Linked DNA regions of Astyanax mexicanus. Each later gene encodes a partner of the first gene's protein in a complex. Links are inferred from orthologs where the notes say so. Each region holds a gene or a part of one and is shown on either strand. Other genes may lie near its edges. The genes, in order: med1, retinoic acid receptor beta, med24 and med21.

Evidence for each region.
Region 2: the proteins of med1 (region 1) and retinoic acid receptor beta are in contact, whole or in part, in a crystal structure (PDB 1XDK), measured with the Mus musculus proteins. The link is inferred for Astyanax mexicanus from reciprocal best matches to the Homo sapiens genes MED1 and RARB. Residues at the interface, in NP_001073587.1 of Mus musculus: His642, Pro643, Met644, Leu645, Met646, Leu648, Leu649, Lys650, Asp651; in NP_001276689.1 of Mus musculus: Ile264, Val267, Lys271, Phe276, Ile281, Gln284, Ile285, Leu288, Lys289, Pro435, Leu436, Glu439, Met440.
Region 3: the proteins of med1 (region 1) and med24 are in contact, whole or in part, in a cryo-EM structure (PDB 8T9D), measured with the Homo sapiens proteins. The link is inferred for Astyanax mexicanus from reciprocal best matches to the Homo sapiens genes MED1 and MED24. Residues at the interface, in NP_004765.2 of Homo sapiens: Phe375, Asn377, Gly436, Leu437, Gln439, Glu441, Ser453, Asn459, Asp460, Ser461, Leu462, Val463, Cys464, Tyr480, Lys481, Gly482, Asp485; in NP_055630.2 of Homo sapiens: Lys7, Ile10, Trp14, Lys15, Arg17, Leu47, Ala50, Met51, Ile52, Gly53, Pro54.
Region 4: med1 (region 1) and med21 share a complex: the UniProt entries of both Homo sapiens proteins name them as parts of the mediator complex. The link is inferred for Astyanax mexicanus from reciprocal best matches to the Homo sapiens genes MED1 and MED21.

Annotation. Positions count from the first base shown.
Region 1 is NC_064422.1:3,176,766-3,183,598, forward strand, and holds the start of med1 (mediator of RNA polymerase II transcription subunit 1), read left to right. Parts: upstream 1-3,823; 5' UTR 3,824-3,844; coding exon 3,845-3,947; intron 3,948-5,986; coding exon 5,987-6,093; intron 6,094-6,197; coding exon 6,198-6,276; intron 6,277-6,833. UniProt on the Homo sapiens protein: Component of the Mediator complex, a coactivator involved in the regulated transcription of nearly all RNA polymerase II-dependent genes.
Region 2 is NC_064410.1:607,275-615,213, reverse strand, and holds the start of retinoic acid receptor beta, read right to left. Parts: upstream 3,026-7,939; 5' UTR 2,300-3,025; coding exon 2,140-2,299; intron 1-2,139. UniProt on the Homo sapiens protein: Receptor for retinoic acid. Retinoic acid receptors bind as heterodimers to their target response elements in response to their ligands, all-trans or 9-cis retinoic acid, and regulate gene expression in various biological processes.
Region 3 is NC_064422.1:21,445,759-21,452,637, forward strand, and holds the start of med24 (mediator of RNA polymerase II transcription subunit 24), read right to left. Parts: upstream 3,012-6,879; 5' UTR 2,991-3,011; intron 1,631-2,990; exon of another isoform or gene 1,473-1,630; intron 163-1,472; 5' UTR 162-162; coding exon 32-161; intron 1-31. UniProt on the Homo sapiens protein: Component of the Mediator complex, a coactivator involved in the regulated transcription of nearly all RNA polymerase II-dependent genes.
Region 4 is NC_064409.1:37,875,360-37,882,546, forward strand, and holds the start of med21 (mediator of RNA polymerase II transcription subunit 21), read right to left. Parts: upstream 3,021-7,187; 5' UTR 2,958-3,020; coding exon 2,916-2,957; intron 730-2,915; coding exon 615-729; intron 481-614; coding exon 380-480; intron 1-379. Other genes in the region: tm7sf3 (transmembrane 7 superfamily member 3), read left to right, coding at 3,274-3,382. UniProt on the Homo sapiens protein: Component of the Mediator complex, a coactivator involved in the regulated transcription of nearly all RNA polymerase II-dependent genes.

The DNA.
Region 1 (6,833 bases):
CAGGCGAATGTTGGTGGCTTTTTAAAGGCATATGCTTATTTGTTATCTGATGCTCATTTTATGGGATGGTTGTTCTAAGAAAAAAATATGCTTCTAGGTACTCAGCGTCTTTCACTGGAGCACGTCCTTACAGCTTCAACATGTCTGCCAATGCTGCCCTCCTCTGTTTGCATTGTGCTACTACAGTATAGTGAATTTGGACATTCCCCCTGGTACTGAAAACTAGCAGTCAAAGACCCTGCTAGAGATCGACCGATATTGTTTTTTTTATTGGCCAATGCAGATATTTAGACAGCAGATGTATATAATTGATTTAACATTTTATATTTATATTTATAATTTATTTATGTATATATTTATTTATGTATATATATTATGTATATATTTTCACAACTGATTTTCAAGCAACATAATCTCTTTTACAGTTTATTTAAAACAAACACAAAATATGGGAAAATACTGACAAATAAAATGTGCAATATAAATAACAGTCTAGCTTAACTTTTCTCCAAAGGGTTTCCACAGCATCCTCAGTAAAGTACATTTTAATGATATCCAGAGGAGATAATAAATAATGCAACAAAATGTGATCAACTGTTCTTTTATTATGTTTAACTTATTACTAAATAAAGTACAGAATATGCCATTAACTCAGTCACATATTTAGTGTAGTATTTACAGCATTTACCTGACCTATGTATTGTAATTACCACCATTAACCAAACCAACTAAATACAGGACAGCTTCCATGAATTAGCTAGATCCAAATAATGATAATACACTGTTTATTTTATGATACAACATGATATTAATTACTCCACATGATGCTGGTGTTTCCATGCATGTTCTTCCTTCACACTATTCACACATTTCAGCCACACATTTAGTGATATTTCCATTATGTACACACAATTGATCACGACACCCACAGTAACAATACTTTTTTTTTGTCTGTGTCAATTTGACTATTTTTTTTATAATTATAGGACAACAATGCAATTCAAGTGCCTTTATTTGGTGGGGAAAATATTTTAAATGAAATCATGTGTTCCACAATTATTGGCACCCCTGGTGTTAGTACTTTTTACAGACTCTTTTTGCAAGATAGGAGAATACAGAAGAGGGGTCTCTGACTATTCAATTTGATTTTTAATTTAATTTCTATAGCGCTTTTTACAACAAAAGTTGTCTCGAAGCAGCTTTACAGAGAAAAACAGGTCCTTTTTTGAGCAGCACCACAGACATGACAATTATTATTGCGACAACAGTGGCATGGAAAAACTCCCTTACATGAAGAGGAAGACATACTACACAATAAAATTATATGTTTGCACGGTTTTACTAAACACAACATGTTACATTCACAGTGAGGGGGGAAAAGTATGTAAATCCTGGATGTGATGAGATTGGATGTGCTGGTTAAAGCTGTCCTGCCCTATAAAAAATGGCAATAATCAGCCGATCACTGAACCCTACTATCAGTTTCATATTGTGATTAAAGTATTCTTATCTAAAATAAGCATCATGTTGTAAAACATTTTACAACGGAATAGAATAGAATGTGTTTATTGTCCAAATGTGAAAATGAATCTTTGGTCACTCATGGCACAAAGATATCTACAACATATCACATATTTTAAAATAAAAAAGTTGCAAAACAAATTAAACAACTGATGTATTCAGAATTTCTATTGCATTTGGTACAAATAATCGCCTGTGAATATTACTAGTAGCTGTTGGCATCATCATTTGCCTGATGGCATCTGTTAGAATTGTAAGTTGAAAGGGTGAAGTGTATCCTTTTCTAAATTGTATTGCCTTTCTTTAAGTACTGTTGTTGACTTTCTCCTACCAGTTTTTTACTAATCTCATCAGTCCCAAACCAAACTGTTATAACATAAAGCACTTTCAATAAGCAAGCGATACAGTAGTTCTACAGTATCCAGACTGACCTCAAACTCATTTGATATGAACTTACAAATACTGTTAAAGGGTTATGGGTACAGAACCTGGCTTTATCGTTTCAAATATTATATGTTTTTTCTTACATATTCAATATTGCAAAAGATGGTTTTCTTATGCATTCATTGTTTCAAAGATTAAATGACAGACATCCCAAGTTGCAAAAGTTGATTTCAGGGAGGTTAAAAAAAACTGATTGGCTGTCTCACAGACTCTTTGCAGAGAACAGGCCAATCAGAAGCCTCTCTGTTTTCTCTCTCTCCCACACGCGATTAGAGAAAAAAAGTCTGTCGCCTGTGTGCGTGTTTGTGTGCAGTGCGCGTTTGGGGCACTCGTTCTGAATTCCGGGAGATTATATGTGACTCGCGGGTATCAGGGAGCCACTACCGAAATGCGGGAGACTCCCGCAGCTTCAGGGAGACTTGGTTTGTCTGAAATGAATTCTCCTGTCTAAAAGGTTTCTCTTTATATTCACATTCACTGCAAATCAATGTGAATAAATGTTAGATGGCTAACGATTGGCCTAGAATGATTGATAATGTGTCATAGTGCCATATATGGATGCCCTTCTGCCCTTCCAGTAGAAAAGGGAACCTTTATGCAGAGCTTTCTAAAACACCCCTACTAGACTAGCTGTGCCAAAGTTTCCCTTTCTACTACAGAAATAGAGATACGGTGCTTTCTTAATGAGATAAACTGTATTTGACGGTACGAAACAAATTACATTGTTAAAAAACTCATTTCCAGTGTTAAATGGGCACTGGATAAGATTAATATTTTTGTTCATGGGCTCCCCCTACAGTTGCAGAGTGTAACTCATGTCCAGGTAAGGGTTGAGCCTCTCCATTCTTTTGCTTCTGTTTAAGAGTGAAATGACACAGAGCCAGTACATCTCCAACACAAGAGAGCTATCTGAACTGTAGCGATAATTTGTCTGTGTCATTTTGCATGACAGGTTTTCTTTATTGGTAAAAAAGATGACTCAACCAAGACATTCAGTGTCTACAGCTATGATGAAACAGAATATGATTACATGACTACACAGAAGCACTAAATAAAACATTACACATAGTAAAACTTAAACAAAGTATCAGTAAAAATTCTAATCTGGATCAAAATATGTGCAATATCTATGCCCTAATTACCCAAATCTGGACCACAACATCATGAAATAATGTAAAAACTTTAGGAGGCAAGCTAGACTAGATTATATAACACAGCGTAACAAAATAAATCGTTCCTCCAACAAGAAGCTGGCCAGATCTGTATCTGGTAACCAAACAATTTATTATCTCGTAGCTTGCGCCAATGAGTAAATTCTCATTAATCAATCAATCGGTCTCTCGCTCAGTTACACTCTCTTCTTCCTCTATTCTGCCTTTTTGCAGCCACAGCGAAAATTCTTTAACTGAAGGACTGAACTGGCCTCTTCTGTTTTGGTCTTCTGTGTTCAGTTTCAGACCTCCTCTAGAATATACTAGCAATATGACCTGCTCTAATATGGAAGTGTGTTTACTGTATTAAATATATAAAAATATACAAATATGATGAACTTTTATTCCTTTCAGCATGTTTATCTCCTCCATATAATGCGCATCATTGGGGGAAAAAACCTAATTCACAATGTTAAGTAAATGTTATTTTTTAATAGAGTTAAACACTTCAGACAGAAAGCTTTGATTTAACATTTGCATTAAAGAAGGTGGGTAATTCGGGTTTTACACAGAAGAATATCTCTGCTTTTTCCCTGTAAACCCCTAAAGCCTGAATTTAGAGCTTAGTGGGAGGTTTGGAACACAGCCCAGCACTTTTACTGTGAGATTTGGGACAGACCCAAACTCAGGCGCCCTCGCTGCGTCACACCGGCCGTGAGGGAGCGAAGATGGCGGCGGTGCCGTTAGCCGGCTGCAGCCCCGCCGCGGAGCCTGCAAACACCGCCGCGGTCCCAGGGCCCGCGGAGCGGCTCAGGGTGGAGGAGGGAACCGGTACGTGTGTGCGGATCACTTTCACCCGCCGGATTAACCAGCGTATCTCTATCTACCGCGCTTTACCAGCCGAACTGAGCTGGGTCTTTTACCCACATAGCCTAGCTTAGCTAGCTAGCTAACAAACAGAGCAAGCTATACCAGCATTAGTGTTAGCAGTAGCATTAGCATTATCTGTTGCTGTTATGAATTGAAGAGCAGGGCAGCCTATTTAATAAATTCTGTATAATAATGTTACTTATTATAAGGATTCCAGATGTGGGAGTTATATATAGGGTTATGGCAAGGTGTCTGTATAAAAGGACATATAGTATTTTAAAAGAGAAACTGTTAAAAGTGATTCGCTGATTAGTTAGCTATAGGTTGCTAAATACCCAACTAACAGAACAGCGCAGGTTTGAAGTTTAGATACCCGGTCAACAGGGTCCAATAGGTGGAACATGGTTCAGGTGGGTTACTGGTGAATATGGGCCATGAATAGCTTCGTAAGTGTGTTTTTACTGGGACCCAGCTTCACAAATCTGTCCCATCATTACAGCCACCTTAATCAATATTTTGACACCTTATATATAAACAGAAATACAATTAAGTCTGAGTGGAATCTAATTTCTGAGTTCTGCTGTGGGATGCACCTTCACTTGAAAGGGACTTGGAAACATGATGGAAAGACAACTCGCCAAACTGACATCAATTTTCACACCAATCAGTGTGAAGGATAGCGAGACCCATCCTACATATGTAATGACAAGAAGTAGCAGTATCAGTATCCTGTTTATTGTCAGTTTTTTTTACTTTTTACTGCTTAATATGAAAGAAAAATGAACACACTTCTTATTTTCCATCTGTCCAGTATCATTAATTTTACTTCATCAGTGGATACGTGGATTGCATTATTATGATTTTAACATTTAATTCAATATTTGACTTCTGGAGAAATCTGTTAAAATTAGTTGAATATCACAATAAACATTGCAGAACAACAAAAATAGTGTAATTTTTTCCACTATGCAACTATAATTTCAGGACATATTGAGAGATACAGAAGCATCATCTGAGTGTGAAAGAAGCATGTGGATTTCATGTGGTCTGTAGAATAATATTACAGGAATTTGAGATGGCCCTATCAGTGGTTTAGGGGCATATCTTAGAAATATCTTAGTATCGTAGAAATATATAAATAAGTTATAATTCTAATAATAACAATAATCTAACATAACATTAGCTCAGCTCAAAGTCTGTGAATCACTATACAGAACTGCACTGTGGAGCTCAAGTCATCCGATACTGATACACAGCCGATCAACCTTTTCACCTATAACAGGGATTGATGTGAGTGTGACTTAAGGCAAATTCATTAAGGCCTTTAAAATTGTTTGTTTTTTGTTGGGACATGCTCTCTGTGGGTGGGTAGATAGCATTCTCTCACCACATGATGTTTGCCCCTGCCCATGATGTCTCCCCATGGTGATGTGGGTCAGCAGCACATGCGTGCCACCACATTGGTCTTCACTGTTGAGGGGATTACCAGTGATATTGGGAGTCCTAATGAGTGGTTTGGGTAATTAGATCTCCAAATTTGGCAGAAAAAGTGTTGCAATTGACAATGATACTAAAAAAAAAATTTGCAAATCTCATAGACCCATATTTTATGAAAGGCAAATTTTTGAATTGTGAATATTTTCCCGTATTTGTCTTATTTTTTTGCATGATGCATCTTTAATCTGCATTTGTTGATTGAACCGCTCACTCTGGATACAATGTCTGGGGCCAAAACAATGATTTCCAGAAAAGAATGTTGCCTGTGTTCTTATGTAGTGGGTTATCAAATACTGACTGTCAGCCTTGTACCGATAGCTGAGGAGAGATAGGAACACGTTTTGTACATTTTCAACATTGTATAGCTTGTATAGTCTAAATGATATGATTTTAGTTGCTGTGATTTAATTGTTATAATTTTACTTGCAAAAATTTGACAACAGGTCAAGGGCGTTTTGTTTACTGTTAATTTTTGTTTTGTTGTGTTTTGTCTGTCCCCTCAGAGGCAGAGAAGCAGACTCGGGTGTCCGCCCTGTTGGAGAGATTACACGCCAAGCACAATGCCGCTCGGCCCTGGCAGGAGACCAGCAAGATCGTTAGACAGGCCATGGTGAGAGCAGAGCAAAGGGGCTAAAGGGACTGTAGTGGTGGGAGTAACTGAGCATTTAATACAGTCTCTGTTTGTTTTTTAACACTGTTTCTGTTTGTGCTCAGGAAAAGCGTGGGGTGATGAATTCAGCCGGACACCAGCTTCTGCTCAGCTGTTTGGAGACACTACAGAAGGCACTAAAAGGTAAAGCTTTACTGGTTATCACAACTCAAACAAATGTAATTTTTAAATACAGATCTGTGCTTTTTTAGTTTCTAATCCTCTATATTAATCATTTAAAATTATTTATTTAAACATTAGGAGAGTGTTTGCTGTAAAAACATTAGATCAGATGCAGGTAAACATAAATGCAGTTAAAAGTAACCAGAATTTCTTATTCTGAAGAAATTAGTGGAGATATTGTGAGGAAGTCTAAACAGCAAAGTTGGGTCCCTGATTCCTCCTGGTTCTCCTGGTCAACCCCAGCCAGCGTCCCAGTGGATGTGTTCAGTTCCACCAGCAGCTGATTTACCATCAGCACACTCTGATTTTACTAAACCAGCTGCTGATATGATGAGAATTCTAAATATTGCATGGAGAGCTGTGGAGATGTTTTAATGAACACTGTGATATAAAACCACTGTTTGTATGAAGGTTATTTGTTTTTAAGTTTTTCACTGAGCAAGTAAACCAGGGTTCATACGGTCATGAAAAACCTGGAAAAGTCTTGGAATTTAAAAATACCAATTTCCAGGCTTGGA
Region 2 (7,939 bases), on another chromosome or scaffold:
TGTACAAGGATTACTACAGTGAACTGAGTGCAGCTGTAATGCTGCATACAGTATTATTAAACAAGGATTCTTACAAGTAAATAAAACAAGTGACAACTATAAAACTTCTAAACTAAAAGTACAATTCGTATGAGTTTCTTTGATTTTACCAAATTGAAAACCTCTGGAATATAATCAAGAGGAAGATGGATGATCACAAACCATCAAACCACCAAACTGAACTGCTTGAAATTTTGCACCAGGAGTAAAGCAGCATAAAGTTATCCAAAAGCAGTGTGTAAGACTGGTGGAGGAGAACATGATGCCAAGATGCATGAAAAAACTAAAACTGTGATTAAAAACCATCAGGGTTATTGCACCAAATACTATAGTTTATAGAATAAAACAACAATGTTCATTTTACTCAAATATAAACCTATAAATAGCAAAATCAGAGAAACTGATTCAGAAACTGAAGTGCTCTCTTCATTTTTTTTCCAGAGCTGTATATGTTATATATGGCTACATGATATAATGCTGTCGTGTATACATAGATAAAAACAAGTTGTGACTACGATGTAATGTTCTTATTATTAAGCATGTCATGTAAAAAATATCTAATCTAATAAACAAAATAGAAATGTATGCATGTAATCCGTTTGCAATATATTTAAATTAGGGATGCACAGAATTTTTGAGAACTCGAAATATTCAGTTATTTCCGCATTTGATATAATGAACAAAATCAAACAGTGACTATATTATTATATTATATTATGTCATATTGCATTTTTTCCCTAATATGTTTATTTTCAACAGGCCCCCTTCTCTGGTGGTGTTGCATACAAGAAAGCTGCTACACACAGTGCCAGTAGGGAGTGTGGGAGAGAGCTGGCACAGAGCTGATAAACAGCAGGTTTAAGTTCATTTTTCCAGTTAATAAAATGAAATGATATAAAGTCTTCAGCATCGTTATTAAATTTAGAATCTGTTTACACACAGTGTATTACCCCTTCACAAAGTGTATTTTATTCATCTAAAAAGTTAAGCTTGCACGAGCTTTTACAGGACCAGGGTAGTAGTGTTTAGCTGAGCAGTAGTGCAGTTAACATAGCCCTAGAATTAGCTTGTTTACCTTGTTAAAACTCACTTCTGAGTTACTGTTGCTTTTTTGTGCTTTCAATATTGCTTTAACGTACTGTAGCACTGTCAAATTCTGCTGTGCAGAACATTGTGGCACATAGAGAAATGGATCGGTGCTCACAGAAAAAAATGAAATAAAAAATCACATGCATGCAAACAGTGACTGAGTGCTGCGGGCTTTAATTTACAATGTGAATGTCCTTTTAAATTTCTTTTTTATTTATTTTTTTATTTATTTAACTTCTAAATCTACCCTCACGTTACCTAGTTTAACCTCATCTCTCTCTCTCTCTTTTCTCTCCTCTCCCTTCTACATTCCTTGTTTTGTATCCTGATTTTTAAAAAAGCCCTCTTTGTTTTCTGAGTGTTTTGTTATTAGGATTTAATGACATGTAATATGTTTAATTCTAAAGCAGTGGAAGCAATAGGCTTACATTTTATATTGTACATTTCTTGTACTTTTAAAATGTATGTGTTTAGATTTTTTGTTATAAATGTTTAGTGTTAAATAAAAAAAAAACATTTTTAAAAGAGTAGTTTTATCATTCCGTTTACTTTAAATAAGAAAAATATACAAAAAATTTAAACGATTCAAAATTAAAGTTAATTAATTTAAAATTCAAAATTAATTTTAAAAACTATTAATTTTTAGAAACACAGTAATTCTTTCTATATTCGCACCAATATATGTTTTTGAGATTGTTGCATCCCTATTCTGCCCTATACTAAATGTATGCACAATCTTCAAATAACTGTCACCGCTGCATATGTGCACGCATTAATTAATTGGCCGCGGCGCGCGTGCGTGCGCCAATTAATGAACTCATGTCATGTCAACACGCAGCAATGTCATAGAAAGAAGCGAGCGTCATATCAGCAATCAAGCAAGGTCACGAGCGGTCCGACCAACAACACTAAAAACAAAAAAATAAAGTGTGTGTGTGTACGAGTGTGTGTGAGACAGGGACAAGAAGAGACATAGAGAAAGTGGAGAAAGTGTAAAGGACTTGACCGTACAGTGCGCGCCGCCGCGCCGGTGATGCCAGTCTGCGCGCGCGAGCCCTCGGAAGCACGCCTTCAGCGCCTGCTCCTGCAGCATGCACGAGGACGGGGGCGGAGGGTACAGGTCCAGCATCTGGCCCGGGCTCACCGCGAGCACGTCCATGCAGTCGAACATACCGGGGTCCACTCTGTGTCCCACCTCCTCCCAGAACCAGCAGAACCACCAGAACCAGAACCAGAACCAGGAGCAACAAAAACAACAACACCAGCACGCACGAGCACCAGCTTTGTAATTCACGCGCGCGACTACCGGACCTACTCCCGGTCCAAACTGTCCCCCAACTCCATCCAAGTCCTTGTTCTTGTTTTTCTCCGGTGCTTCTTTTCCAACTCACGAGCTGGACCTTTTAGCACGCGCGCTCCCTCTAAAAGCCGATGCGCGAGCGCGTGTCATCCTCTGTTTTTGCTTTAAAACAAGCACAGAAACAAGCGAATTCAACATCAAACTCTTTTCTCCTCTTTTCCTTCATTTACAAAATCACGTCTCCGAGCCTAAAAGATGACGAATGGGCTCATCCTGCCTCCGCGCGAGCTCTGTTTCCTACCAGTACGGTGTCGCGCGCGCGCGGAGTGAGGGATTGAATCGCCTAATGTATGCGGCTGAACTTTCCGTGAACCCCTCCGAGGCGGCTACCCTTCAAATGACCCCAGCGCTCTGACATCATCACCGAGTCCCGGGATTCTCACGCACAGAGAGAGAGCGCGAGCGCTGCGGAGCCACACCCGCATTCCGGCACGCCACGCCTCCTGCGTGCTCCCATTGGCTGGAGCGTTCGCGCCTACTGCAGTAGGATTGGATGGAATGACTAAAATCGCAAAACTCAGAGTCGCTGCCGGCCACTCGCAGCGATTATGGGCGGGGATTTGTGGTGACGAGGGCGTGGTTTGGCGATGAGGGGGCGTGGTTTGTATGAAGACGGGTGGAAAACAAAATAACACAGAATAAAGAGATAGAGAGAGAGAGAGAAGAAAAACACAACACTCGATGATAGCCTAGTTTTTTTGTTGTTTTTTTGTTGAAGAAAAAAAAAGCTTCAAAAACACTTAAGATATTTTTTCGGAATATTTTTTACAAATAAAATATTTAAATATATTTATATATTTTTTGGTTTCTTCACCAATGGGACATGTTTTTTTACGCGCCTAGACAGTCTGAAAATATGAGGGCAGTATAAAAAAGAAAACAAAAGCAGGAAAAAAACAACCCACCCTTCTCTGTGATCTTTTTGGGTGTAAACAAGGTTTTTATTTTTGTGAAAGGCTCCCATACATTTTCTTCACCGTTTCTAGAATGTCTAACTCTTGTGTAATAATAATAATTCAGGGTTTCTGCATATATTTTACATTCAAATTAAATGAAATTTAATGGCCTTATTTTCCTTCCTGTTCATTCTCTCTCTCTTTCTTAAGGCAATTTAAATGTAGTAAATGTATCTAAAATATCTACAAATATCTAATACTATGTAATTTATAAACACAATTTGCTCTACTATATTTATCAATCAAAACAATCCAACACCAGAATGAATCAGGTATAAAAAAAATACACTTAAAAACACTAAAACACTAAAAAAAAAAATCCTTAAGATTTTTTAAGAATATTAAAAGCTTGAGAAAGAAACACTAACAGGAACCAATAATCTAATGAATTAAGATTTAAAAGCAAGAAACTCTTAGAAAATTATGAAGAAACACAGTGAAGGAAAAAAATAAAAAGTTATTAAGAAAGGTAAGAAAAAAAAATAGTGCACGTAACAGAAATACTGATAAGACCCAAGACCCAAAATTTTACTTCTAAAAAGCATAAGGATGTAATCCAGATTTTTAAATGCATTACAATAAAAAAGTGAAACAGACATATTAAAAACTATAAAATACATTACAAACACATTGCCACAACTGCAAACAACCGTACCTGTTCAGACCTTCACACACACACACACACACACACACAAACACACACGCACACAATTCTATACAGAATATATCTGATGTTTGAAGTATTTAGAATATTAAAAACGATAAAAAAACCTTTAAAACCGCATTAAAAATACTTCATATAAAACTGACCAGCCCCCAAATTAGACCTTTAGCCTATGTTCACACTGACAGACTAAAATGCCTGAAATCACATTTTCTTTACCTTAAAATGACACAGATCTCCTTACACATGGCTTTGTTTTGTTTTCCTACCCCATGTGCTCTGCCCTGTCTCTGCTCTAGCCCCACCCCTAGTCATTACTGTTGTTGCCTTGTGTCTTGTTTTTAACCCCGCCCCCTCGTTACAGGTCCCAGGTGTTCCTCACCCTCCTTGTGTACTGAAGCCTCTTTGTTTTTTAACCAAACATAGTATTCAAACACATAACATACAAAGCTACAACACATACCCCATTCACACATTTGCTATTTAAACAGCACAATTATAACAAGATGACAAAAATAATAATAGCAATAAAAATAATAATAATAAAATAAAATTCATGGTGCTATTGTCAGCATCAACATCAAACACTTTGACAACATACATTAATCTTCAAATAGTTTAATGAATAGTTTAATGGATCCTCTTCCATAAAACGCCTAAATTGACCCCAGATCTCCCTTAAAATCTCCCTAAATTGACGTGACTTCTTAATTGCAAATGTTAATTTCAACCACTGACCTAATGTGGGTGCCGACATACTTTTTCATTTACAAGAGATCCAATTTTGATAACTTTGTTGCATGGTCTTAGATTGTATATATATATATATATATATATATATATATATATATATATATATATATATATATATATATATATATACATATATGATTAGTGGGCATGCAACATGATTAAATGTGTACATCAGATCAGATTTCATGCATCTTAGAAACAGGTCACTTAGATTTATGAATGTGAAACATCCAGATCTAATCCGAGTAAAGATATGTGAATTGATTAATGAGGCTTGTAATGTGAACAAGCCTCGTCTTGTCTCTCTTTAGTAACAGAGGGGGTCTGGAATCGCTCCATGACTCTCCAAACACCGCATTAGCTCCCGCTCCGGCCGCTCGCTTGTCCCTCTTCCAACTCACACAACTTTATACCCAGAGCTGCGGCGCTGCTTAATCCACCAAATTTAGAAACCAATTTCGCAGCTACCGGAGTCGCTTAGGATATAAATGATGTTCCTGAAGCTGAGCAAGACTTTAATCTTTAATCTTCACTGCTTACGAGTGCACATGTGTAGCTGCCTATGCCTATGTGTGTGTGTGTGTGTGTGTGTGTGTGTGTGTGTGTTCTGCTAGACAAGAGGAAGAGTTTTAGAAGTTTTGGTTGGTTTGGATTAGTGCTCTAAAGCCCATCCTGCACCAATAAACGCTAAATATGTAATAAAAGGAAGGAAGATACAACAGAAAATTTACATTAAATTTGAACTGTGTTCCAAAACTGCAGCACAAACTCGACTTTTAAGGGTTAAAACCTCACCCTGACCTGAATTCTGTTCAGACAGTACTCTGTGGTGTGAATGGTGTAGCTGGAGGAATGTGACCGCACACACTCATGACTGTAGTGCAGATAAAACAGAAGACAGATAAGGAGGGAAGTCTATTCAGTTCACTCTTTATTCTACTGAAGTGCAGCAGTATATATGGAGTGTGTCATTTCTGTAATCGTAGCCTAAAGGAACGTCTGGCCGGCTGCATGTTCTCGTGCGCGGCTGTGTGTTATTGGCTGGATAGTGTGAAATTAAAAGCAATTTAAACACGTGAATCAAACTGGCTTTTAAAGTCATGGTAAAAAGTAGAAACGCTGCAGAGGCTTAACTACAGTAACGTCCAGGAGTTATAAGAAGGCATAAAAACATACCATTCACCTACATGCAAAAAGGCTCTGTGTAAATTGTGAGATTATGAGGTACATGTAGTGTAAACTACTGAAAGACACTCGCTGAGCCGTCGCTGACTGACCTCTGATCAGTCGAAGACACAGCAAAAATTTGGCATGCTAGATATCTGACCCAGTCGGCGACTGGGAGCCAGGAGCAGCGGCCAACCTACAGCTAATGAGTGAGTCCTCTATGAATAGAGCTGAATGGAGCTAAAAAAGCCAAAAATGGTGGCTAACTACAAAATATTCTTCTGAGTATTCCTTTACATTTAGAAAGTAGAATAATGAATGTTTCTTAACAAAGCAAATAAACCATTATTCCATTATTCTACAACATTCAGGGTTTAGTCAGTAGAGATGCTATCAATACTGCAATATGAGCTGATTGGTTGGTGAACTAGAGCCTTTAGAGTTTAAAAGGCTTTGAAATTCTGTTTGCAGTGTTGAAACATTTGATATAGTTCTGTGTTTAGGATATAAGTACATGTTTTAGTATAAAATTGATCAGACATTTATAAATTTATATGAAACCGTTCATGTTGGACTCACTTTAAGTGCGTATTCTCCTCTCTATAGAGATTTTCTAGCATAGCATCGATAGTTCTCGAGTGTGTTTAGTTCTGGTGTGTTCTGGTCGTGATGAAACGTGTTTTTGGAGAGCAGTCAGGTGAGTTGGAGATTTCTCACAGTGTAAAATCGTGTAATTTGTGGCTTTGTGTCATCAATCAGTTCTTTCCTGTAAAAAAAAAAGTCTCAACACCGCAATGACTCTCGATTACAGCACAAAAAGTTTACAGTATGTACCCCTGTACAGAGAGTAGTGCTATTCCAGGTACAGCATTTTCATAAACAGTAAATATGCTTGAGAAATCAATCCTACGCTTTAATACTGAAGCAGATTCATTTCTGTGAGTAATATTTTGAAAGGCTGGGGTGCTGATCGTCAGTGCAGGCGGTGTATAATATCTCCAGGCATGTTGAAAAGAAAACATCCATGCTAATTGATGATGATTTAGTTTCCATTCTTCTCTGAGCACCATTACGTTCTGCAGCACCGTGTTTCTCAGAGGCGAGCTCGGTTTCGAGGCGAGATCGATCCTCCGCTGCTTTATGAATAATGGAGAGACTCGACAGAGGAGCTGAAAAGAAAACCCCGATCCCTCCTCCCTCCACTGCACACGGTCCCTGACCCCCCGCGGCCCCCGCGCTGTAACTCTAGCCCTCCTCATCGCCCTCTTCTGCAGACGCTCTCTCCCCTCCGCAGCTCAGCCTTCAGCCCCGCCAGGTAATGGATCCACCTGGAAATCCACCTGTAATTAGAAAGTGATAATGAACCGCTCCATCAAGATAAGCCACTTTTTGGCATCGCTGCTCAGCGTCTCCGTGTGTCGCGTGCCAAGACTCACTCGAGCGAGACGCCAGACAGCTCCTGATCATTTAATAAAGTCGGACGAGACCTGACGTCACGGGAGGGACAGCACCGACACAACACAGCGAGATTTAGACAAGATTTAACTGATTTAGAATAGAAAATTTGACCAATCTACAGTATACAACACAGCAGGGGTCTGGCCAGATATTTTCCATTATGTGGCCACAAAAAAAAAATCTGTTTTGGAAAATAAAGTATAATGAGGTGTAATGGGATTTAGTGCTACACACTAGTAGCTCTCCAGCCCAGAGGTTTGTTGAACCCAACTGCAGAACAGTTGATCTCAAAGCAGGTAAACCCAAGAAGAAAAGAAATAAAAATAAAAAAAAACAAACACACCGCTCCTCACATGGAACCCAACTTGTGTCGTCAGGGTCGCGCTCCAATACACTAACGCTGCCCTGGCTAGTGAATTGGGAAGGCAGCCGAAGGACAAAAACGAAGGACAG
Region 3 (6,879 bases), about 18 Mb from region 1:
TATTTTGGCACTGAAATAATCCTAGTCCCACCTGCCAGGTTGAGGTAATCCCACGTGGCGCCTTTGGGGCAGTTTTTCTTTATGTTGATGGCCCACTGATAGTCGCTCCAGCGCTCCTTCCATGCCTGTAGAATGGCCTGCTTCAGGTTCACCACTTTCATTCTGCAAAGATGTTAGGATTAGGATTAAAAGTTTTAGTCAGTCTTTGTCTCATTCTGGCATTCAACCGTGATAAAATAGATAAAATCAACCGTGTTTAATGTTATCGTAAATCTTGATACTTGGCTCACGCAAATAGTGACGTGAACAATATCAACAACCAATAGGAGAGCTACGGAAGAGGCAAAGCAATAATATTTTACGTAACTGTTTACAAACGACTTGAAAAAGAACACATTCTGCAGTTAAAATACCTTATATTGCTCTAACTTTAATATGTACAGTATTTTAAACACAGGAAGCACTTTAAAGTCATTATATTTACAGTTATTCCATTTTGCACTACTTTGCCTTATTGTGCAGTGTTATTTAATAAATACACATTTAGCAAGAATGATGTTTTGTATTACATTAAATCTATCTAAAACAAAGGAAAATGTAAAACAGGGAAACTGTGTTTCTTAAATATTCAAAGTTGTTGCAAAAAATAGGGGAAAAGAAGCTTATAAGCTTAAACACAAAACAAACACACTAACAGTGCGGCAAAAAAATAAACTTTTGATGGGGACAAAGGTTGTGGGTCTCTGATAACTCACAGTATTGATATACAGATTATTTTTAGATTAATATGTAGTATGTTTTGTATCTAAACTCCAGCAGAAGCATGATGGGAAATGATCTCAGAAACAATCTAGTTGCAGTCTTGTAAATAGTGATCCCCAGTCTTTGCAAAATCTTATCATGTGACTAAAAATCTGTAAAAAGTGAGAGACTTCTCTTTAAATGTGACAGGGTGTCAGACTATGATTTATTTATGTTTATTTTCAGAGTCTTTTCAAAAACTTGTACGTTAGTGTATAGACAGCATAAACAGTATTGTGGGAGTTCATAGTGCCCTCAAAATCACGTTCCAATTTCACTTTACGATTCGGACACGTTCTCAATAGTGACCTAAATGAGAAATATGGAGCATGTTAACGTTAGATATATACCGCTACGTAATAAAAGAAAAATCACACTAAGTAGGAAAATGACTTTCCAGAGTTTATTAATAAAATATCTTTCACACGCAGCGATACCTCAGTGTAATTCTCACTCTAAATACCCCACATTCAACGATACAGTTATTATAATAACATAAATAATCGCAGAACAGTGAGTGTCTCAACATCAACAAACAAACCCACCAACCAGAGGAGCACAGAGAAACACACACCGCGCGCATATATTAACGATTAAACTGATATCTAAACAGCCTTTTATTACCATTATTATCTTCATTATAGTATAAATATAGTACAAGGGTGATTTACCTGATTTTATTCTTTGACTGAAGATTAGATTTAATGTTGCTTTTCAATTCAATCGCTTACCACCGGCGCCATACTGGAAACAGTAACACGCGCTGTGATTGGTCCAGCGCGCTGAGTGTGCTCTAACGCGGTTGGTTGGCTGTGACCGAGCTCGATCAGCAGACAGATGAGCTTGGAATTCAAACTGTTTTTTATTGTTAATTTTTTACATTTTATTAATATATTTTTGTGCGTGCGGAAGGTATGTAGTGGTTTCGCTGAAAGAGACGTATTTTCCCAGGTATGTTCTCTTGATGTAAAAATTCCAAATTGCGCAAAACATCCGGGAATTCCTATTTATTTTTATGTCAATATCAGAGTGAGAGAGAGAGAGAGAGAGAGAGAGAGAGAGAGAGAGAGAGAGAGAGAGAGAGAGAGAGAGAGAGAGAGAAAGAAAGAAAGAAAGAAAGAGCGAGAGAGAGTTTATAATAATGTTGTCTTGAGGCAACAACAGAAAAACACTGTTTTAAAAAACGTAAATAAAAAAAGTCATTTAAAACTTCTAAATAGTTTATTACATATTGATGCATTAATACATATTTGTTTTAGCTATTTAAATGTAAACGTTATATCATATTTATCTTATCGATTGTTTGTGTCCCAAGTAGCTTTGGTTGCTAAAAAGATTATTCCACCTCCACGTAAACCAAATTCTTTAAATTAATCATAAAATCTCTCTCAAAAAGTTGATGTATTTCTTATACACAGCTATAGCCTGTCCTACAGGTCAGGAAGACACTATCTTTAGTGTGAGGCGAAAATGCGGTAAAGGAGAAATGCTGTGTGAACTGGAATTGGGGTGTAGTGAAACATAATAAGAAATACGAACTTTAGTCAAATAGCCCACCTTCGTTCACCCTCGGCATCCTGAAATACTGCGCTTTTAGCCGATGCTTCATTATCAATACCACATAATTGTGATAAAACCGACGTTCTTCTATTACGCCAAAAGCTGCTAAAAAGAAATGATCAGACTGTTAAATCTTGCCAACAAATCTTGGTGTTATCATAGATTCAGATCTAGCATTCGATAAACACATATCTAAGAACAGCTTTCTTGCATCTTTGTAACATTATCAGGCTAAACAATTCTTTATCTTAGCATGACACAGAAACATTAGTACATGCCTTCATTACATCAAGGCTAGACTATTGTTATGAGCTCATATCCTGTTATAAACCACCATGATTATTTAAATCACAGGGTGCTGGTTTACTAGTAGTTCCCAAAATTCAAAGGAGCTTTCGTTTATAAAGCACCCCAACCCCATCATTGTTGGTCTCAGTTTGCCTTCATTAAATATTTTAGGGGTCACCTGACTGTTGTTTGTTACAGCTATGTTTTTGTTTGTTTTATTATTAATTTATTTATTTAACTAAATAGGTTTAAAATTATCCAAATATCCCATAAATAATGTTAAAAGTGTAAAAAAAATAAGACCATTTCAAAACATACAAACTGTAGTTCCTCCTGTTTACCTTTCTAAAAAATAGGAGTTTCAGCCAGAGTGTCAGGCGCGAAGAACTGACCAATTCGAAAGAATGGCGGCAACTCAGTATGTTTTTCTGCCCGGCAGTATTGTGGCCTACTCTGTGATGGGAGCGCTCATGGCGAGTGGTAAAGAGGTGGTAGGCAGAATCCCATCTGAAAAGGTACAGTCAAAACTCCATAAACAAGTCTGTTTTAGGTTGTTGAACAAACCCAAATGCTTGTATGATGCCTGTTGCAGGCTATAAGCTTTCATTACCTCTTAACAACATTATTCTGATACATTCAGTCAATTTAAAACATAAAGAACAATCGTTATTCACTGACTGATAAAACCTACAGCACCTGCGGAAAATTTAGTTTATTTGACTCTTGGGTGACTCTTTCTTGAAGCTTAGAACTATTGGTAGATAAAAAATAAAACTTATAGTAATAATCAGCAGTTTGTTACAGAAGCTTATTGTTTGTGTGAATGTGATAAACAGATAAGATTCATCTTATAGCCTTGATGGCTTTAGTAAAACCACAAAAAGCTGAATGACATTCTTACTGAGCTGTGCTGAAAAGATTCTCTCATATTGCTGGCAAAAGTGAGTAAATTGGTTCTGTCATGATTTCTCGGTTACAAAATTATGATTTAGATCTAAGAATGAATCAGAAAAAGTAAGAATTATATGAACATATATGCAAATGTTTTTTTGTGTGTGTTTCTTTTAAAACCTTTTTGTGGCCACTTCACATTTATGTCCTAGCAATAATAGATCAGTAGAGTTTAAAGACATTGCTGATTTGATAAGAGTGTCCAGATATTACTGGTATTTTTGTTGAAGAGTTTTTCAACTTGTAACCAGATGTAGCTTTGTTGTTAGAATAGGATGGTTTTGGATTGTTTCCTTATTCTGAATCTGGTTCACAATGGTTATTTTAAAAAACGTCCTCATGCAGTGGGTCATTGGGGCCAATGTGACTGTTTAATGTACATATTTGCTGAAGCTAATACATAAACATTTAACAAACAATATACTAATTAGCTATCTCATTATTTAAATGCATGTTTATACGCTCACTAAATGTATCTTTAGTCATTTTTGTTATATTACTGTTGCTGGCTGTCCTCTTTACTGTCCATGTCCTCCTTTCTTTTCTCCTTTACTTTAGTTTGCCAAGCTGGTACCAGAACCTTCCATCTATAGCGGAGACATTCCAGTTTTCCAGAACCATGATTGAAGTCCTGAACACTGACTCTTCCACTCACTGTACCAAAATATCCTAATGAAGGTTCTTCCGGTTCTGAAATGGGCAGCTTCCACTTCCTCCCACCAAACAAGCTGGATTTCTGCTTATCCTGTCTTCCAGTTTTAAAACGCAGATCTTTTTCCCTTAAGGTCTTAAACTTTCTTTTATTTTCAGAGGGTCTTTACTAACGTTTCTATTTGACTAATAGGCCTATGCATTCGCCCTTTCCCAGCTGATGTCCGGAGATTAGTTAGTTTATAAAAATGACACAAACAAAGCACACTTAAAACTTATTAAAATTTAAATTTCTATTTATTTATTTCATGTTCATTAACATTTTGAGTGACAATCATACTTTAATTTGCAAGTATTAGGCAAAGATAGATAGAGCACAAGTCCCCCTCATGGTCTGCATATTGGTGTTTTTCCCAATTACACACTCCTTCAGGGGTTTGATAACTCTATAAGCTGGAAAACTTGGAAAAATGTGAAAACTTGATCCTGGATACCAGGAATTACTGATTGATTCCAAACTGTGTGAAAAGTTTCTAAAACTTTCTGCAAATGTTTATGTAAAGTACTAGGCAGTTTAGGGATATACAAAATGTTTTACGTAAATAATAGATCAGCTTGCAAAAATACAATCTTCATATGAAGTATGCCAAAGCTCTCCTGTAATAGTTATACTATATTTTACATAAAATAATAGCTTTAAAATAATATAATAAAGTCATGTTGGTTCAACAAAATGCATTTGTGGTGGATGGAGAAGAGCTGACTTCAGAAACTTCCAGTCTGGCCAGACAGGGGACATGAGAGCCTGAGGGTCCAAGATCCATCGGTATTGGGTCAGACAGGTGGGCAGTCAGTAACTCGGAGGAAGGCAGAAAGATGGAATTAGTTTTGACTGGATTTATGTAAAACAGAGAATATAAAACATTATCAGAGTGTGGCTAATGTCTCCGGCAGATCTAGAAAGTAACATAGACATGGAGGCATGAATTTTAGGAACTACTAAGAAACCAGCACCCTGAGATCTAAGTAATCGCAGTGGTTCATAATAGGAGATGAGGTCTCGCAAATACTCAGGAGTGAGCCCGTGTAGGGCTTTATACGTTAACAGGAGAATTTTATCGTCCATGCGGAATTTGACTGGAAGCCAGTGCAGTGATGATTGGACTAGATTAATATGCTTACATTTTCTAGTTTTAGTTAGGACCCTGGCTGCAGCATTTTGAACTAGCTGAAGTTTATTTAAGTTACTGCAGGAACATCCAGACAGTAGCGCATTACAATAATCTAGCCTTGAGGTAATAAAGACATGTACTAATGTTTCTGCGTCATGCAGTGATAGGGCATTTCTTAGCTTGGCAATATTACGGAGGTGTAGAAAAGCTGTTCTAGCAACATTAAATATGTTGTTTATCGAATGCTAGATCTGAATCTATAATAACTCCAAGGTTTTTAGCTGCTGAACCAGGTGTGATGGAGAAGTCGGCCAGATTTAGCATTAAGTCTGATCATTTATTTCTAGCAGCTTTGGGCATATTAGGAGAACTTCTGTTTTATCACTATTTAATAGGAGGAAGTTGTGCGACATCCATGATTTTCTTTAATCTCACTCTGTCATCAGGTTTGGCTGAAATGAAGAGCTGCGTTTCATCCGCATAACAATGAAAATTTAAGGTAAGAGCAAAGTAGTTGGGCCACAGCTTTTTCTAAAATCTTAGAAATAAACAGTAAGTTTGAAATAGGTCTATAGTTAGACAGTACACTAGGATCAAGATTTGGTTTCTTGATCAGAGGTTTAATTACAGCTATTTTAAAGGCTTTGGGTACATGGCCTAGGGTGAGCGATGAGTTTACTATTATTAACAGAGGTTTAATTATATCTGGTAGTACCTGTTTTAGTAATTTTGTGGGAACTGCATCAAGTGTGCAGGTTGAGCTGTTTGAAGAGGAGATGATTTTCTCTAGTTCTAGCTGTGGAATGGGTTAAAGGCTTCCAACCTAACTTCCGTAACAGGGTTTTGTTCTAGATCAGCCGCATCAGATGACAGAGAGAAAGTGCTGTTTATCTGTTTAATTTTATCCCGATGTTTTCAATTTTACTATCGAAGAAGTCCATAAAAGCGTTGCTGGTGTGAATGGCTGGGGTCTGAGGTTCAGTACCTGTCTGTTTTTTAGTTAATTTGGAAATAACACTAAAGAGAGCTCTAGGATTATATTAGCTCTATGGTTTTATTAAGTTCTTTTCTATATTTAACAAGACGGTCTTTCCACGCAGAGTGAAAATATTCTCTAAATTTCGTACTAACTGCTTTGACGTACGAGTTTGATCATTGTACCACGGTGCGAGCTTTTTCTGTCTCTCTATTTTATGTTTAAGGGATGTACGTATATTATGACTAAGATGCTATTTAAATGAAATAAGGTAATGATCTGAAATTGCGGAGGTTTGAGAACGAATGTTCAGGTGTATCCAGCTAAGCAGCGGAGCGCGTTTATACCTCGTATCCGCGGCTCTGCTTCGCTCTGCAGTTTAAACTTCTACAGATTCTACAGTAGTAATTATCTTCCACGCAGTCTGGCTGTATTTATAAATAATTGATCTAGTGTTCGTGTTTGAAGCTCTTTCTGAAA
Region 4 (7,187 bases), on another chromosome or scaffold:
GCTATTATATACCAGCTGGTTTACTCTAGTGTTGCTTTTGTGGTTGCTAAGGTATCCCAAGTGGCTGCCATTGCTTTGCTTTGACAAAGTGACTGTTACGATATTACAGGTGTTTGCATGACATTTCTTAGTGGTTGCTAAGGTGCTGCTAAGTAGTTGCTAGGCAGTTGTTATGATATCCCAGGTGCTTGTTAAAGTGTATCAGTTTATTGAGTGTCCTTTTACTACTCTAATTAACCCATTCTGCAAACCTGTTAACCAATTTTACAAATTACTTATCATAACTTTAAGCAAATTAACAAATACATTGTAAAATGTTTAACCAATAATCAGGTTTCCTAACAACTCTCAAAATCTCATGAGCATTCATAATACAAACCTGTAAAGCAGCGGTAGATTCTTCACTAGGCAGCGAATCGATCAACACATCAACATCTTTCGCTGTCCTTGCAATCAGGGCTGCAAAAAGCTGTGCATATTCTGTGGCAAAAAAGACACAGCGATTAGCCTGAAGCAGCATGGAACAAACAATCACATTGGTTTGAAAACATTAATAACTGCCTGTTAAGCTTTAATAAATGTGTCACTGTGAGATGATGAGAATTTGTTTGGACCTTCTGTGGGGTTTGATGGCTGGTCCTTGTTGATGGCTGTCTGAATGTTGCTGAAGGAAGCAGGTGGCGCACATTGCTGCAGAACTCCAATGGCATTGCAGAACTGATCAGCCAACTACATCACGCAAAATCAAGACAAACATAAAACTGAAATTTTACTGCATGTAGAACTCAAATAAAACCCCCCCAAAAAAATCACAATTTTTGTAAATCACTCTGACTTTTGGGTGTGGAGGAATCTGATCTGATAACATATAAACTCTTACATTAATATTGTTTTCTACCAGCTGCAAATCAAATGATATAGTTTATATTGAAACACTAACATGTATACTATTTTTAGCATATGTTATTGTAGTGTTTCTGATGAAGTGAGTAGAGTCACACATGGAACTGATGAGCTCTGTCTGGCTTTAGTTACTACTGAGCCTGGTGTGGTTCCACAGTAATGAAGTTGGTTTAATGAGAAGTCTGAAGAAAGGAGAAAGGTGGTCTGGGACACCAGACTTGACTGTTGAGACTTTTAATGGTGTTGCATGCTTTATTAGGCAGAACATTTATGAAGGTGATAACTAGAGCCTCTGAAGTAGTGGGTGATTAGAGTAAGTAATCTATTGTAATGTAATTCCGACTAGTAAGAACTGTAGTTTTGGACATCAATATTATTATTATTAATCTCAAATTATATTGCACATATACTACAAATATCCTAAATGCACTTCCACCAGTCAAAAGTACAACCCTCCTTGACACAATGTATACCCTCAGGCAACAAACCATTTTGTTGTTTTTTACACAATAGCATACTTTACCTTATTTACCTAATAGTTAGTTTTTTTTTGGAATGTTACAATGCATGTCTACTTCAAATACAATAATGTGTATGTGTGGGCCATAAATAAAAATATTTATGTGCAAGATATTCTTTTATTCTTCTTGTAAAGTTTCTAAAACAGTGTTTTTTCCGCTGCCTTCGGGCAACATTGTGTAATAAAGCAGTGGCTCTCATTTCCTGCTAAAATTGAGATAGAGAGCCAAAGAGGTGCTGATTAAACATTGTTAATACTCAATATTCATTTTACAAATATGTGTACATAAAGTCTTTCCTAGTCAGATAGTGAAAATATCTGAAGATAACATTAGTAATGTAGAAATCAATCAATGTTAAGCTACATATAACTAGTCAAAATGACACTGTGTCATTCTGGTAATATGACTAGTCAAAATATCTGTATAGATCAGTAGGTCTGATATCATTACTGGTAAACATGTCATTACTGATATTTTCACATTTTTTTAATGTACATGTTTTAAGATTAAAATCCTAATGTAATACAAATAATAGAACAACAATTTCAAAACTTATTTTTAACATTTTGTTGTAGCAATTACTAATCCTACGGAAGGTAAAACATTTAATCAAAGCAGTTGAATTGTTAAATTAACGGTTGAAACAAACCCGTAGAATTAAAAATACACTTTTAAAATGAGCTAGTTATATCTCCAGCACTCCTACATTCTCTAAACGAGGTCAGATGAATGAACTGTGCTGTAATTCTGTCAGGATGTTTAGTAGCTAACCTATGTGTCACTAAGGGACTTCATGAGATAAAATGACTGAGAAAGTGCTTTACTTGACACATCATTTAATGGGTCTGTGAGACGAGTCACCATGGGCTCTTTTGGGTTAACTAGTAAAACCTAACCCATCTAAACGAGCTAACCTATCTATCTATCTACATTGAGAAGGTCCTGAATTGTACCTTTTTTCTGGTAACTTAAGTACTGAGCTCGAGCTGTATCACTACTGTCATTTTATGCTAAACGACCTAACAGAAATTAGCTTAACGTCAGTTAGTGTAGCCTTGTAAGCTAGCGTAGTAGTTAATACAGTAGTAATACAGAAAACATTTAAAGATATTAGGTCTTGTTTCGGAGAGACTAGCTAAGTTATTAACTTAGTTAGATACCGCGAATATCTGTCATGCCAACAAGTCTGGATTTATCTAGCGGCGACCAAACGTGTCTAACATTAATGAACTAACTAACATGTATTATTGCATAGCCTATCTTTAACATGTCTAGTTGGCCGGCTAGTTACTCCTCTAGCCCATCATAGCTGTAGCGTTAGCTGTATCTGGCTAACGCTCGCCGCAGTTTCATTTCAGTCATGAGTAAAAGAACAGCAGCACCTCCCATTCCCCACAAACACACCAACTGAGAACTAGACCTGCTTTTTACCTCACACAGTGCGACATTCGTAAAGAATTAACAGTTTAAAACACATAATTTTGATCTTACTGAGTTGACTGCGTCCTGCAGCTGTGTTAGCCTGTCCGCCATCTTTTCTGGTTATCGCCCCCCGCCGGCCGGAGGGCTAACGTCGCGGGCGCGCTCACGTGACCGTGGGGGCGAGATGGTGAGAGCGTGAGCGTGAGTGTGAGAGAGTGTGAGTATGTACAGGAGAGAGAGAGAGAGCGCGGGCTGACAGTGTGAGAGAAGGAGAGAGGGAGCGAGCGGCGGCTGGTGGTGGTGGTGTGTAGATCATGCGCCAGGCCTGCTGCTGCTGCCGGAGGAGGCTCGGTGGAGGTCTGCTGCTGCTGCTGGCCGTGTCCGTTGTGTGTGTCGGGGATCCGTTCCTCGGCCCGAGGGGCAGAAGATGAGCTCTGTGATCGGGAGAAGAGCTGCTGGAGGAGGTGGAGGTGGTTTCTGCGGTTTACTGTTTGTCGTCCTTTCCTGTCTTCGGGTTCTGCAGGCGCAGGATGAGAGTAAGTTTCTCTTTCGGGCTCCTGAGCTCTGTTTACACACTTGACAATCCGCATAGGAACACAAACAGCAGCTGCGATTTCTGCTGAAGTTTCGGCTGAGACGCTTTAAACTGTTAATCTGAGTAAACTAAGATAACATAACCTGGCTGATCTGTGCAGAAACCGAATAGAACTAGCTAGAAGTGAACTAGATTATTTTAGCTGTCTGATTGTGTATACATGTAGGTTAATTCTGAAACGGACCTCTTGTGTATTATTCGAGATTTGTTGAATATATTTTGTATTTTATTTTTTTAGGACCACCTTAAATAGATCCACGAGTAACTACAGGCTGTAGCTCAGTTCACAGCGCCTGAGAGACAGAATGGGGGGACTGCTGCTCCATTTAAGGTGGACTGACACAGTCGAACATGGAGACACTTGGGGTTAGCTAACTGTTAGATAGCCAACTCTTGCCTTTTTCATGTATACTGTTAGCTAGCTATCTTGTAAAAGGCTTACTTTAAGACTGTCTCTCCCTTTCTCTCGTCTTGTATATTAATTTACTTTATTCTGACAGTAATTTGGCGGGATTTGTCTGTGAGCATTAACCCTCACGTGAGCGTGATCTAATGGTCAATAGTAATAGTTCAAAGCAGTGGTTAAACCATTTCAGTGTCCTTTCTATTAGGGTTGCGCGATAATATCAGAATTAAATAACTAAATTGGTATGGGCCAAAATGTCTTTTTTTTTATCACACTCATCTGACCATTTGGGTGATATTTCAAACCGTTTGACGTATTTATTGTATGTAAAAAAGGAACCAAGAAACCCTGGCCACACTAATATAATTGGCTGACATTGGCCATGCTACTTTAAAATCCATTAATGTTTAAAAAAGGGTTTAGAGCAGTGAGTCTAGGTGAGGACCAGTTAAGTAAATGTGAAAGCAGAAAATGTGAAAACAAATTAAATTGTATTGTTAGCATACAGCTGGTTGAAAAAAAAGCAAATAAATGTTACATTTGTTTCCAAAGTTATACTAGAGTGTATAGTCTTTCTCTCTGTTATAAATGTGTATATCGGTATCGGCAGAAACATAATGTCAGATATCGGCCTAGAATTCCGACGTGTGCATCCCTACTTTTTATTTTGATATTATTTGAGCCAAATTTGTCTTCTTTAGATGTGAGGTTTCTGCCATAAATTTTCTGTCCTGATAGTCTAACAAGAATAAGTTCTTGCTTCTTTACTTTATATTATATTATTGTTAAAAATATGAAACCACTGTAGATCATAAACTGTTCAGAAGAACTAAGTTATCTATATACATTTATGTGTTTTTTTTCTGGGTAGTTGAACAGTATTTATGTACTCCAAGGACAAAGGTATTGAAACTTACTACTGATTAACTGATTCTTCAAAAATCAACACACATTCTCAGCTCCCCATTTTATGCCAAATGTACTGAATTACTACTCTAGCCCACACCTGGCATTAGGCATGCCAGTAGGTTTATGTTTTTTCTGCTCCAGAGAGTCCTGTTCTATTGACAGTAATTCTCTGCAGGGACTAGAAAAGCTGTGTGTGTATTTGCACATTTGTGTCAGCAATGGAGACAACATAAAGTGGTTTACTGCAGTCACTGGAAGGCCTATAACTAGAGCTGGGCGATATGGGAAAAAATCTTATCACGATATAGTTTTCCATATCAGTCGATATCGATATGTATCACGATATAAATCAAATCACTTTGTGTCACACTTAAAGGTTTGTTTTTATTAGTGAGAGAATAAGGGAGTGATGGAAGTTTTATCACAATATTTTTTTCTGTATCTCCATAATTATTAGGGCTGGCCCGAATAGCATTTTTTGAGCTCCGGATATTTGGCAGTAATTGGTAGCGAATATTCCAATATTAGTTTAAAAAAAAAAACAAATTAATCATGAACGCGAGCCAGAACCCGAGCTTGAACGTCAGCCTGACTCAGGCGCTGCATGAACTCGGGCTTTTTTCCAATTTTTTCCAATTTTCCATGACTGAAAAAAAACTTGGGCTATAAGCTCAATATTAAATATTTCGTTTGTTTAGAAATTATTTTATATTCTTAAACCATGTTAAATTATATTAGATTAGTAGGGCTGGCCCGAATAGCGTTTTTTGAGCTCAGAATATTGGGCACTGATTGGCAGCCAATATTGGAATATTTGTTTTTAAAAAGACGGATTAAAAACTGATTAAAGTAAAACAAAAATTGCAACTCGGCCCCTTTAATTCACCACAAAGTTTTCCAAGACCCAGCCGGAAAAAAAAAGATTTCCCACCTTTTCCTCAGCTGGGTCGGGCTCAAAAAATGATTTGTGATAGGCTGTTTTTTGGTTTGTTTGTTTAAGCACTTAGGCTTTTGTACTGCTGCAGTGCAATATTTAGATTTTATATTCTGAAATTCGTTAGGTTTTATTTCTTTTAGCATTTTGAACTTTTTTTCCAATTTCAAATTTATTTTTTTCTGTTCGTTATGTTCTATCGGTCCTTGCGTTTTTTGTAGTTGAAGTTGAATTTAATATTGAAGTTCAATATTTCTAATTTATATTTTGAAATTCGTTAGATTATATTTATTATTGTATTTTGAGCTCACTTTAGTTGGTTATTTTCCAAATTCATATCTATTTTTCTGTTATTATTAAATGTTATTAGCTTATTAGCTTAGCTTGTCATTTAGCATACAGAACTTCTCACGGATTTTTAATGAATGTTGATTTATTAATTTAAAAGCTGTACCTTATTAAAAGTATTTTAAGCCAGACAGACACTGTGTGATTTTTTAATGAGTTTATCTGCACTTTTAAATGGTTTGTCCTGTAGGAAACGCACACGATTTGTATGCTGACACTGTTGTCTGACTGAGGAGCTGCTTTCCGTCAAATGCAGCCTGTAGGCAGGAAAAAATCCAGCCAGAACCGACCATATCATGAGCCAGTTTTAAAGCCAGTAATTTAGTAGAGCATTAAACTACAAATCTGAGATGTACCTGCTGTACTTCTTAATCTCTGCCCCCAAAACGGTCCATTAACTTGCTTGACAGACGCGTCAAATCCCCCGCGAGCACGCGCGGCGCACAGCGCACCGATTAATTCATGCGTTGAGCTTTAAACGCGCAGCTGAGCTGTAATTGGGGAAATATCACAAAAATCACAGTGTGATTTGTTACATTAAAAAAAAAGACCATTTTCTTCCGCCTAATCTGAGAGGAAAGCGGTGTTCTCGACCGGCCCGAGTTCATGCAGCGCCTGAGTCAGGCTGGCGTTCAAGCTCGGGTTCGGGCTCGCGTTCAGGCAGATAATCTAAATGATAAATGATTTTGTGTTTTTGCACTTGGGCCATAAGCTCAATATTAAAAAGTTCGTTTGTTTAGAAATTATTTTATATCCTTAAACCATGTTAAATTATATTAGATTAGAGGAAAGTCATTTAGACATCATTCTTAAGGTGTTTTTGTCCTGTTACCGCTCCGCAAAAAAACCTCTTCCTTTAATCCGCGCCCCACATACACATTTTTGCAGCACCTGCCCCGAGGTCCTAATATAAATTGAATTAATTACATTTAGTGCTTAAAATTTACTTAAAATTTATTTAAAACGTGCTGAACAGTGCGGCCGTTTATTCCCAAAGTGTGTCGGGCCATACTCCACTATTCTTTAGGGTTTTTTGTTGCATGCATGAGAATAACTATTACAATTTTCTTAACTATTTATTAATTTGCTCCAGCGTCTTCTGGATTGATTACACGTTGTGTTTTCGTTGTTTGCCGCGCCACTTAGACG